Oreochromis niloticus: one gene and its partners. The protein of the gene in region 1 purifies or fractionates together with the protein of each later gene. This does not show direct contact. Links are inferred from orthologs where the notes say so. Each region holds a gene or a part of one and is shown on either strand. Other genes may lie near its edges.

Evidence for each region.
Region 2: the proteins of smc3 (region 1) and usp13 purify together in Homo sapiens (affinity purification with mass spectrometry; 4 studies listed by BioGRID and IntAct, with this or other methods). This does not show direct contact. The link is inferred for Oreochromis niloticus from reciprocal best matches to the Homo sapiens genes SMC3 and USP13.
Region 3: the proteins of smc3 (region 1) and cdca5 purify together in Homo sapiens (affinity purification with mass spectrometry; 7 studies listed by BioGRID and IntAct, counting the BioPlex papers as one, with this or other methods). This does not show direct contact. The link is inferred for Oreochromis niloticus from reciprocal best matches to the Homo sapiens genes SMC3 and CDCA5.

The regions. Positions count from the first base shown.
Region 1 is NC_031971.2:30,161,068-30,164,820, forward strand, and holds the start of smc3 (structural maintenance of chromosomes protein 3), read right to left. Parts: upstream 2,527-3,753; 5' UTR 2,339-2,526; coding exon 2,324-2,338; intron 1,657-2,323; coding exon 1,581-1,656; intron 1,450-1,580; coding exon 1,411-1,449; intron 1,303-1,410; coding exon 1,235-1,302; intron 974-1,234; coding exon 902-973; intron 305-901; coding exon 225-304; intron 127-224; coding exon 48-126; intron 1-47. Other genes in the region: dusp5 (dual specificity protein phosphatase 5), read right to left, coding at 3,699-3,753. UniProt on the Homo sapiens protein: Central component of cohesin, a complex required for chromosome cohesion during the cell cycle. The cohesin complex may form a large proteinaceous ring within which sister chromatids can be trapped.
Region 2 is NC_031986.2:45,480,475-45,484,227, reverse strand, and holds the start of usp13 (ubiquitin carboxyl-terminal hydrolase 13), read left to right. Parts: upstream 1-1,612; 5' UTR 1,613-1,911; coding exon 1,912-2,022; intron 2,023-2,070; exon of another isoform or gene 2,071-2,407; intron 2,408-3,753. Other genes in the region: ndufb5 (NADH dehydrogenase [ubiquinone] 1 beta subcomplex subunit 5, mitochondrial), read left to right, coding at 401-521. UniProt on the Homo sapiens protein: Deubiquitinase that mediates deubiquitination of target proteins such as BECN1, MITF, SKP2 and USP10 and is involved in various processes such as autophagy, endoplasmic reticulum-associated degradation (ERAD), cell cycle progression or DNA damage response.
Region 3 is NC_031985.2:14,020,229-14,023,787, reverse strand, and holds cdca5 (sororin), read right to left. Parts: upstream 2,272-3,559; 5' UTR 2,240-2,271; coding exon 1,457-2,239; 3' UTR 591-1,456; downstream 1-590. Other genes in the region: psmb2 (proteasome subunit beta type-2), read left to right, coding at 2,513-2,603. UniProt on the Homo sapiens protein: Regulator of sister chromatid cohesion in mitosis stabilizing cohesin complex association with chromatin. May antagonize the action of WAPL which stimulates cohesin dissociation from chromatin.

The DNA of each region.
Region 1 (3,753 bases):
AAAAAAGGAAAAAAAAAAGTGAGCCTGGCACTGCACTCCTCTCTCACCTTTCCCTGCTTGACAATGTAGTAGGGGTTACTCCGAGAGAAGCCAGCACTCTCCAAAAGGTTCATGACATCATTCTTACTGCAACAAGAAGAGTGCATAGAATAGATGGAATCACACATGCAGTAATTTTAACATGGCAAATTTAACATGGACAGCTGATCCCTCACAATACTTACGTCACCATCTTCTTGTCTAAAAAGTACTGGTCCTTCTTTGCTCCAATGACACGACGAAGGGAGACTTCCTCTTTGTCAATCTAGAAAGAGATGCATTTATCACTGGGCAAGCTGAGAGTCACACAGAGGAGGATAATTGGCAGGTTATGCCACAGTATTACCAGGCTACAACATTTCACAGACATCCGCCCTTCATCATCAGAATAAGAAGGACTGTGTGTACTGAAGGCAACGCAGTGCAATCAGTGGTCTTCATAACAGTTCTCACCAGGAGACTTCAATATTCAATATGACATGAACAACTTAAATTGGACTAAGGATGTTCACCATTTTAATACCCAAGATTAAGAGTCTTGTTACAAAAGAAAGCATAAAAGGGTTGATGTTGCTGGTTGTTTTGACTTTAGTTTATTGTGTTTTCCTTTTTTATTTTGAGGTTTACTTTGATACAAACCAATGTAAACAATAATGCAAATTTAATTGTGAAACAAATATCAGCACTGAAAAAAGGCTATATGATCATACACACGTTTAGCCACAAGCGGCTCAGTGACCGTTTATTTAACACATACACACATATTCCTTGAGAGGCCTATGTAAATGTTTAAATAATACCACAATGAAATCAAGCAGAAAATACAGTAATAGAATAAATTTGAAATGTTTGCCATTCCTACCGGCAGTCGGTTGTCAGAGTTGTCAAATATAATCTCCACAAAAGCCGAAATGACACGTGGACCAGTTCCCTCCTACAGTGACAGGGAGAGAGAGATTTTTTACACACAGGTTTTGGCATCTACCAAAGAGATTTTAGTCAAAGCTAAAGCAAAATCACCCGCACTGTGATAAAAGTTAATTTTTAAAAAACATTTTTGCCAATTGGCACAGGTAGAAAAATGCATAGATTTTGACTGAGAGTAATCTGTTATTTAGCAAGCATGCTTGCATTCATACCTTCCCACTAAAGGCTGATGTTCCCAGTAATGGGACTCACATTTTCCTGTACTTACATGGAGCAGGGCCAAGCGTTGTTCAGGTCGCAGGTGGCTGAATTCATCACTGAGCACAAACTGGATGGCTAAAAAAAAAAAGAGAGACGGAAGTTAAGTCTTAGATAACAACCAGCAATGTCACTGAAGTCTAAATGTTTGAATTCTATATTGCAGCAAGTTTTGAGGCTTCATACCATAGAAAAAGTTACTTTTTCCTGATCCATTCCTCCCAACTGTAAGATGAAGGGAAAAATAAACACAAAATGAGGATATGGTGACATATAGGACAAAGTATCCGAAAAACCTGATTAGCAACTCAGGTGCAATACAAAATAATTATGGAAAGATGTGGATGAACACATACCGATGACATTGTGCTTCGGGCTAAAGGGGTCTACCACAGTTTGGTCCCTGTAACTTCGGAACCCCTGAATGATCACCTGCACAGGGAACCAGAGACCACCGTGAACACACCGACTACAACATCAGCTGTTTCAGTGCAACATTTTAACCGCATACTATAGGTAAACATGGTCAAAGAGCTCCCGGGTCTATGAATATTTTTAAACATAAGATGTGTCAACTGTTTATGCTGAATAGCACCATCACAGGTAAAACGAGGCAACGGGGCCTTGGCTGATGGTCACTCTGATGGTCTACCGCTACTTTCATTCAGGACATTTTTGAAGGCTTGAAATCAACAATGCCAAGTTAGCCGACAACTATACAATAAACTCTCGTATTCTGCATCATATACAACATTACACGTTATAACAACAATGAAAAGAAGCATATAAATCAGAAAACCTAAGGCTGGCCTAGTTGCGTTAGCTTAGCATCTCGAGAAGGGGACGGGCAATTCACTTCTACACTAATTCAAATCGCGCTAGCTAACGTTAGCTAGATAGCTACACAACGTTTGCCATTTATGGAGTGCCTGTGCACAGTTTTGCAATCCAATCAACGTTACTTTGTGAAGTGAAGCCTCACTCAAAGTATAATAGCAATATATTTATCATTCAGTGGAAAAACGTTAAGCTGGCCTAATTCTTGTTATTAGACCAGTAACAGTCGGCAACACGTATCAGTCTGGTCTCGTTAGCTTACCTGTTTAATATACATGGCTGCTTATCCAGGGCGTCTCCTCTGCAAATTTGGAGATGAAACACTCCCTGCGCCAAGCTGGAGAAAACACAACTATAATAATCCAAACTTAACAATCAAACTGTTGCATTAAAAATCATAAAATACTGTAAGGCAGGAAAGAATAACATGGAAAATGGCGGCGGGGGCGGGATAGAATGGATGATACCAATTTGTGAAACCAGGTTGTAGGGATATCCTTGCACTATATTCCTACATGTGGGGAAGCTAAATAATTCATATGAAAGGTAAAAATTCAAATATAACAATAATATAATGTGTATCTACGGTTAGGTTATGTTTGCGACATAACATTAGGTCTTTTAATCTTGCTGTTTATTCGCCTCTCTGTTTGTTTAGTTGGTACAGTCTAGCAGGCTGCGCTCTGGGCGCCAAAATTGTTTTGATGAGCAGCAGTGGGAAATATAAGACTAAAAGCGGTAAAAAACAAAAACAAAAAAAATGACTGTGTTAATAATGATCAAAATTATTGTATTAATTATTATCAAAATTATTTATAGTGTCTTTAAATAACACAGTGCAGACAGTTTTGTAACAGTAATTTTGACTAATTATTTTCTAGGAGTTGATGTTTCAAAATTCAGATTAACATTGGTTTAAGTTTTCTATGAAAGCGACATGTTTCATCGCTTTCATAGATTATGCATAAAAAATACGGCTATGTGGAAGGCGACTATAGGTAAGAAACAGATGCAAGGCTTCTGATCTAAATTTACCTCTAGTCACAAGGGCCAGCTCTAAGCCACTGTAGGTGTCACTATTGCTTCTACTGCTGCATTTATGCCTGTCTAGACAGGATTTATTATCTAAACCCATAAATATTGGTCATTCCTTTGTCTTGTTTTTATGAAGAGGTTTATGTTGGCTTGCATGAAAAAGGGCACTTGCCAAATACACAATAAAAGATTACACGACAACAATGTTTTTGCAGTGAAAACATTTATTAAACACATATTTTTATCCACATTATTGAAAAAACAGACCATCATTTTCAAATAAATTAGGTTTAAATGCCTGACCATGTTTGTGAGTAGGCAAATGAATCACAATATCAACCTAAGGCATGTATATTGCAGTTTATCACTGTGCTGTGTTGTTTCATCACTGCAGTTCAGAAGACAGGAAAAAAGCATCAGTGTCTCTAGCCCATGGATTTCATAGGCTTCAAGTCCTATTATGAATACAGTTGTCTTTGACTCTTCTTTGTGTCTGTGGCTGATCTCCAGTCTATCTGCTCTGCCGTATTCAACACGAGGCACACAGAGAGAGCGTTGATTTTTATATTTTCAAGTAAGACTACAAGCAGTCACAGTTTATTTTAAGGCAGTGCAGTTATTGGGCTCAGTTTGAACTGGTGGTGGACTGGGGACTGC
Region 2 (3,753 bases), on another chromosome or scaffold:
GTGATGCAGTAGGAGGGAGGGATCCTGAAAGGGCGTGCAGAGCAGCTGCATTCCTTGATAATAGCGTTGTTCCATTGATGTGGAAAACCTCAGCTGTTTTTTGTTTTTTTCCTCTCCCCAAAGAAAACAGGTGCAAGTGAGCCTATGAGGGAACCATCTTTGGATTTTTCAGAACATGCTCTCTGAAAAATATTATATGCAGATTGGTTATTGAAATTGCAGAGATTGGTCAGTCTTGAGGAATCAATTTAAGTGTGTGTGCTGCAGCTGTGACAAATGTAATTCTTTGTTATTTTACAAGTGTCGTACATTATTAGTCTTCCTCACTTAACTGGTTGCTCATTTCTAAAGCATGGTGTTACATTTCTCTGCCTCTTTATTCATTGTTTTGTTGTCACAGACTGACGCAGCTGGAGGTGCGTCGCCAGATGAGGCAGCAAGGAGACGGCCCCTGGTTCCAAGTGCCGACCCTTAACAAAGAGCTAATTGACAACAGCCCCAAGTCATCACCTGACCATTAATCCAGATGTTTCTGTCATCTGTACATCAATCTCACTGTTTGTACATTTTTTCCCATATTGCGTGAATAAAGTATCTATATGAACTCTGATATTCATGTTTTAGCGTCTTAATTCGGTTCATGCAGCAAACACCTTCACCATGATGATATTACAGAGTTACAGATGATCGGGGATTGGCAGCTTGTGTCAAACCCACTGACACCACCTGTCTTCAGCTTGTGTGAATACTTCTGAGCTGAAATCATCCAATAAAGCTCAAGTTGAACAGTAAATCAAATGTGCATAATATATATGTAATTAAATTTTTTTGTAAATGTATTTATTTATTTTTGGCCGGGGCCTTCATTAAGGAGTTTGCATTTTCTCTGTTGTGTGCAGTTAGTGGGGTTAATTAGTGACTCTAAAAATCTCCTGTGGTTGTCTGTCTCTGTAGCAGCCCGGCATCGAGCTGACAACCTGTCCAGGATGTACTCGGTCTGTTGATAAAGAACAAAATATATCCATCTTTAAAATGCTTAGCCAGGGCTGAGAAAGTTTCAGCCAAGTGCAATTAAAAAAAAACCAAAACTGCACCTTACATTTATTTGTACTGTAAATTCTTCCAGATCTCTAAGGAAGGCTGGATTCCTCTTGGTTTATAGTTTATATTTTCTTGCGATAACCACGAGCGTCCACCGGGTGGCAGAGCTCTGCAGACAAGACTAGCCTGGTCACGTGGACAAAGGGCTTCTTTACACACATGCAGCACTATTTAAAAGTGGACTTAAAATCACATATCAAACATATAAATAAAAATTAGTCATCTGAAGTATATTTTTTGTTTATTATTATCTATTATTATTATTATCTATTATTAAATGACATTTACTGCTCTGTCTTTTTTTTAAATAGACCAAACCGACTGCAGATTGATAAGCAGCTACTAAAAATCAAAGTGTCTTCCATAATCACGCACTTCCTGAATCCTGGAAACTGGAAACATGTTGTAGTAAATGTGGGTGGTCTTATGAATCATCCTCAGAGGTGGGAGGGGCCCTTCTCGTAAAACATCCCCGTGAGCAGGAGCAGCACAGCGGCGTCACCACAGCCAACAGTAGCAATGTAATTTCTGCGCAGGTCCAAGATTTCTCTTTTTTTTGTGGTGGGAGGCAGGAAAAAAGAATAGAAAAACAAAAGAACAACATTAGCTTTCAGCGTTGTGCCGCACCGTGCAGCAGCCTGCCTGCCTGCCTCCACCCCTCTGTCATTTTATTTTTATGTTTTTCAACGTCACATCCCCCTGGTCGCAGGAATGTAGAGACGAAGTGCTTTAAAAATAGCATCCTCTCCTGTGACAGGCGCTGCCCCGGAGGCTCCGCAGCACTGTGGTGCGAGAAGCAGGAATGCGAAGATGGCTGCAGACCTAGGAGAGCTGCTGGTCCCATACATGCCCACCATCAGGGTCCCCAGAACAGGAGACAGGGTTTTCAAGAGCGAGTGCGCCTTTTCTTTCGACTCTCCCGTAAGTGTGCCTGTCGCCCCCCCTCCTCACACACACACTCACTCAGTGAGACACGAGCGGCTTGTTTGGGGAGAGAAAGTGCGTCGTAGGCGAGCTGACAGCTTGTTTTGCACGAGCTCAGCGGCGCACGTGAATCTGCTGTAAATGCGCGTGTCTCCATGGTCACCGTCTCCGCGAGCTTGGGAGGTTAAAAAACAATTAAAGGGTGTTTACGTCTCAGGCGAAAGGGATGAAAGGAGTTTCCTTTGTGTCCACTTCACACCACCCCACTACTACTGTAGGTCCTAACGCAGGCCAGTTAGACCAATAAACGGAGCCACACACCTACACCTGCCTGAAGCTGGGCTCAAATCCTCCACCAGCAGCAGCACAGCCGTGTTCAGGAGTGAGTTTACTGCTCCACTCTTGGGTTTTTATAGTCTATAATTTGTCTGAAAATGACCTAAAGTGCGCCAGTGGTGCTTGCTGGAACTGTGTCCACGGGGATGCTTCTGTTCTCAAACAGCCAGGATTTGTAGACGTTTCAAGACCTTAATGGTGTTGTTTTGGTTTTTAGTAGCCATTATGGCGTCACATGGTGTCTCCGCGACACTGTGACTATAACGAGTCAAAAAGTGAAATATTTGATGCTTCTGCTATTGCTCTCAGCTTTTTCTGTATATATTTTAAAATGCTTATTCTGCTTTATTTTTGTCATTTTACTTTTCTTCTGTGAATAGGACAGCAGTGCCATCATGAACACGGCGGCTGTTTTACTTTACTTGAACCTTTAAGGGGTTTTATGCGCTGATGATGCAGAGTTCAGTCCTTCCTGTACGTGGACTGAACCCTGCATTTTTTATATCTGTCACAGGTACCCTTCCTACCTGTGACAGATATAAAATTTCTTTGCCCCAGTGAAATCTCGCTTTCTCGACTGAAACCGTTTTTAAAGGTGACTCAGCTGTCTGGAGTTCATCATGTTGGCCTGAGGACTGGGTTATTTTTACCCTTGCACTGTTGAGGCTCATATGTCACTCTGGGCCACTTAAAGGTTTATCACGGGGAGGTTTATTAGGCCTGGCCTGGTCGCAGATTTAGGTTAGCGTTGAAGGTATATTTTCCAAGTGTTTTGTGTTCCCATGTGAAGTGAACTGTCAAAGAAAGGAAAAGGTTGATGTTATTGTAGATTTGAAAGCATGTTTAGGTGTCTGTCACCATTCACGTGGACTTTTTTTGATAATAACAAGATGACCAAAGAATCACGTTCTTCTCTAAAAGACATGACACAAGTCAGTCTGAGCTTACGGGCTGTTGCTAAAGGTAAAAATCATTCTCCTAAGAGCTCAGACATGTTGTTAATGAAATGAGTCTGCCTGTAATGGGACGCTTTTCAGTTTCAGAAACAACAGCATAAAATTGTTGTATCATGTTGCTCGTATGAAGCCTAATATGAGAGAATAATCAGTTACTTTCCTTGAATTAAATGACCTGTCAGAGGAGGCATTTGTATTCAAACTAATGCTTGTCAGCAGCACAAATGCTGAAAGGTGGAAAGTTTTTGGTGCAAATAATAATTCTTTGAGCGAGAAAGACTTTGGAAAGTGTCAGAATCACATCTTTGTGTTTGATATTACGGTGATGAGTTTGGCAAATTGGGCAAAATAGAAGATCCTGAAATTGTTCCCACGGTAAGAAATATTTCAAATGTGCTCATAGCGTGCCAGTTGTGCTTTCTCATTGTTACTGTTT
Region 3 (3,559 bases), on another chromosome or scaffold:
TATCTTCATGGTGTGGCTCACCACCTTCATCCCTCTGCAGTTACTACAGCTCCTCACGTCACCCTTCTTCATTTTTTAAGTCATAAATAAATCAACAAATCCTGACAAGTTTTCAAGAAGCATTGGTTACTCAGAACATAGCTCCTTGTTAGTGCAAATGATCCTCTATCAACTCCTTTAAGAGACTCTGGAGGAAAAATGTCCACCACTCTCATTAAACAGAGACACATTGCCCACTCAGTCATTCAGTTCACCTCATCATAACCACTGGAGACCACCTCTTTGCTGTCAGCGTGCTTGGTTAGCACCTTGTTAGTCTGTGCTGGCTAATCCTGAGTGCCATCATCAGGCAATAACTCAGTACACATTTCAAACCTCAGAATACTAGTGACAGATTAAATAAACAGATTTCTGTGTAATATTCATTTTACAGCTGGAATAAGATGAAAATACCATTTATAATGTTGCAAGTCTGTGATGGTCGTCTTTGTTATTTTCTATTTCTTTTGTTTTATAAATTAAGATATTGTTGGAATTTGTGTGTAATTTGGGAAAAATAAAGGATAAAACAATTTACTTTGACTCAGAAGTCAGATCCAGCTTTAGCATTTATTTACATGAAAATTTCCAAGAAAAGACACATAAGAAAACAGTTCAGGACGAGAGTATTGGCAACTGCTATAGAACCTTTGTGTCAATAAATGTGGATTCAAACACTCTATAAAAGAGGAAATATCCTGGTTTTAGATATAGAAAATTATACCAAAATCTTTTGTTTTCAGCCTCTATTACAAACATTAAGAGAAACAAAATGTACTCTACAGGGTAGAAAACTGCCCCTTTAAAGGCTACAACTCCCCCTGTATTATGCTTCCAGGGTGACACAAGATTCTTTTTGTCTTCATTTTATTGTTATTTATTCAACCCTTATGCCAGGGGAGATAATGAAATATTCATAATAAGATTATAATAAGAACACAACTGTCTTAAAAGCCTTTAACATCCCACCAGAGTAAAAGCGATGGTCACACACCAGATAAAAATCAGTGAAAGGCATCTTATTTGAAAAATACCAGCGCCAGTCAACAACCCTGATATTTGCTGATATATTGTTGCATCCTGACTGATTTTACTACAGGTGAATGTATCTAAAAATTTTAATTTTGGTCTTGTTTGTGTAACTATGGGGCCATTATAACATCAAAAACTATCCTGTCTGCAAGCATCCACAAAATGACTAGCAATCACATTAAGAGCATTTACAGGAACAAATAAACACAGGAAACTCCAAAATGATCAAACTTTACAATAAGAACAAATAAAAACAGATAAAACTTGAATGTTTAGAGTAAGAAAAGCACATTTTCAGCAGAGTCCTCCCAGAGTCAGTGTTTGTGTGCATGTCTGTGACAAACACAAGCATGCTGCCCAAGTCTTTCTCTTTTCCCTTGAATATTTACTCCACGACCAGTTCAAACTCCTCAGCCTGGTCAAACTCTGCATTCATCTGTGCAGCCAGAGCGTCAAGTTCCGTGGTGTCTATCTGCTGGACCTTCTTCTTCCTCCTCCTCCTCTCCTTCACCACAGCCACTCCGGGGATGTCTGGGTCCGGCTCGGGGAAAGCTGAACCACCGCAGTCATCAGCCTCAAGCAAAGACGTGAATGAGTTCAGTCCTGTAAATGATCCTGCGGAAACCTCCAGGCCAAACTTGGACACCCCGGCTCTCCGGACCTCTGGGGTTTTCAGCTTCTCAAAGCCGAATAAGGTCTCACGAGACTCGGGGCTGTTGAAAGACTTCTCGCTGAGCCTGCTGTAAGATCGGCGTACCTTCTGCGACCACACCGCGTCTTCTGGATCCATCTGCGAGGGATGAGAAGCAGGCGGCGGTGATGAGGGTAGGATCGGTGAAGGCATAGCGGCCTTCTTTTTCTTCTTAGCCGAGGAAGAGCTGCTCTCTCGGCCGGGGACGGGACCGGGCGTGGAGACCTGCTTTTTCTGCTGGATGCCCTCAGAGCTGGACGGCCTCGGCGTGTTCTCCTTGTTCTGTTCCGATAACGCGACTGTTTTTCTGGGCGCTATTTTTCTCACAGTGATTGAGCGTTTAACAGCGAGAGACGGCAGCGCCATTTTGTTGTCACTTTGAGCTTGCGGAGAGCTCAGCCGCGGGGAACGTCTCCGCTGCGAGCTGTCAAGGCTATTAGAGTCCGTCATTATGCTCCGAGGAGTCCCTTCGTTCATCCCAACAGTCTCCTAAAGAAACTCCAGATCTTTTTTCTTCTCTTACAGCGGATCAGACTGTAACTCAACCAACACAGGGCACACAACAACAGCGAACGTTCAAATTGCCCGCCCGCGTCGCGTGGAAAACACGAGCTTCCTTTGCTGTGACGTAAACACTGTGCGCCGGCTATCACAAACTTTTGCTGTGTAATCCATACAGGCGAGGCAAAGAGACTGCTCATAATTTAATCTGTTTTATATAAATACTCCAACTTCTGTCAGTTCAACAGAATGGAATATTTAATCGGGATACAGGGACAGGATTTTGTCCTCGTCGCCGCTGATAATGTTGCAGCAAGCAGCATCATTCAGATGAAACACGGTATGACAACGCGTTAGCTTGTAGCCTTAGCCGCATAGCCGGTTATTTTAGACATACTTGCTAACATAGCTACATTTTAGAGTCTCTAAATGCATTAAACCGGCTTTCTGCTTCTAATAAGTAGTACTTGAACCATTTTTTAATTCTTTTTGCTAAATATTTACATGTAACTATACACTGTGAATGTGACTAGAGCTAACAAAGCTAACAGTAGAGTAGCAAATAATATGTTCTATCGCAGTTTGATTTTTTTTTCTCAGCATTATCATAACCTTTTCCTAGCTAATAGATCAACTCTACATTTCATTCGTAACTAAAGTTGGTAACCTTTGCATGAGCTGCCATAAGAAGGTTACTGACAACGAAAGTGAAAGTCACTGCATCACTGTGGAAATGGAAGTTTACTTACACTCACCATGGATAATTTTAACCTATTAATGATTTGTTTGATCTGTTCTTTTTGCAGGGTGAAATGATTGTATAGCATATATCTTTAATGAATAAAAAAAATGAGAGTTGGGAGAACAAGTTTCAATTTATTTCGTATTTTCACCAACCCACACAGGGTCAAATATATTCACACATCCTCAGGATTATTTGGTTCCCTTAGCAAGTTGTACCTTGATCATATACTTTTGGAAGCCATCAACAGACTTGCATAATTCTGACTGGGTTTTGACCACACTTCTTGATGCTTCAACCTGCAAGCTGTTAAATAGGGGTGAGGTTGAAGAATTTGGAGGTAGCCCTTCATCATTATTCTATGCATTTTGTTTAAAGTACCAGCACCACTGCCAGCAAACTGCCCCAGAGCATGATGCTACCACCAGGCTTAACAGGTCACCTCCTCCAAACAACATCTTGTCATTGTGGCCATATTTCAGTTATTGTTTTGTCTGGCCGTAATACTTTGATCGTTGACTGGTCCATGTTGTCTTGTCCATGTGGTCAGCAAT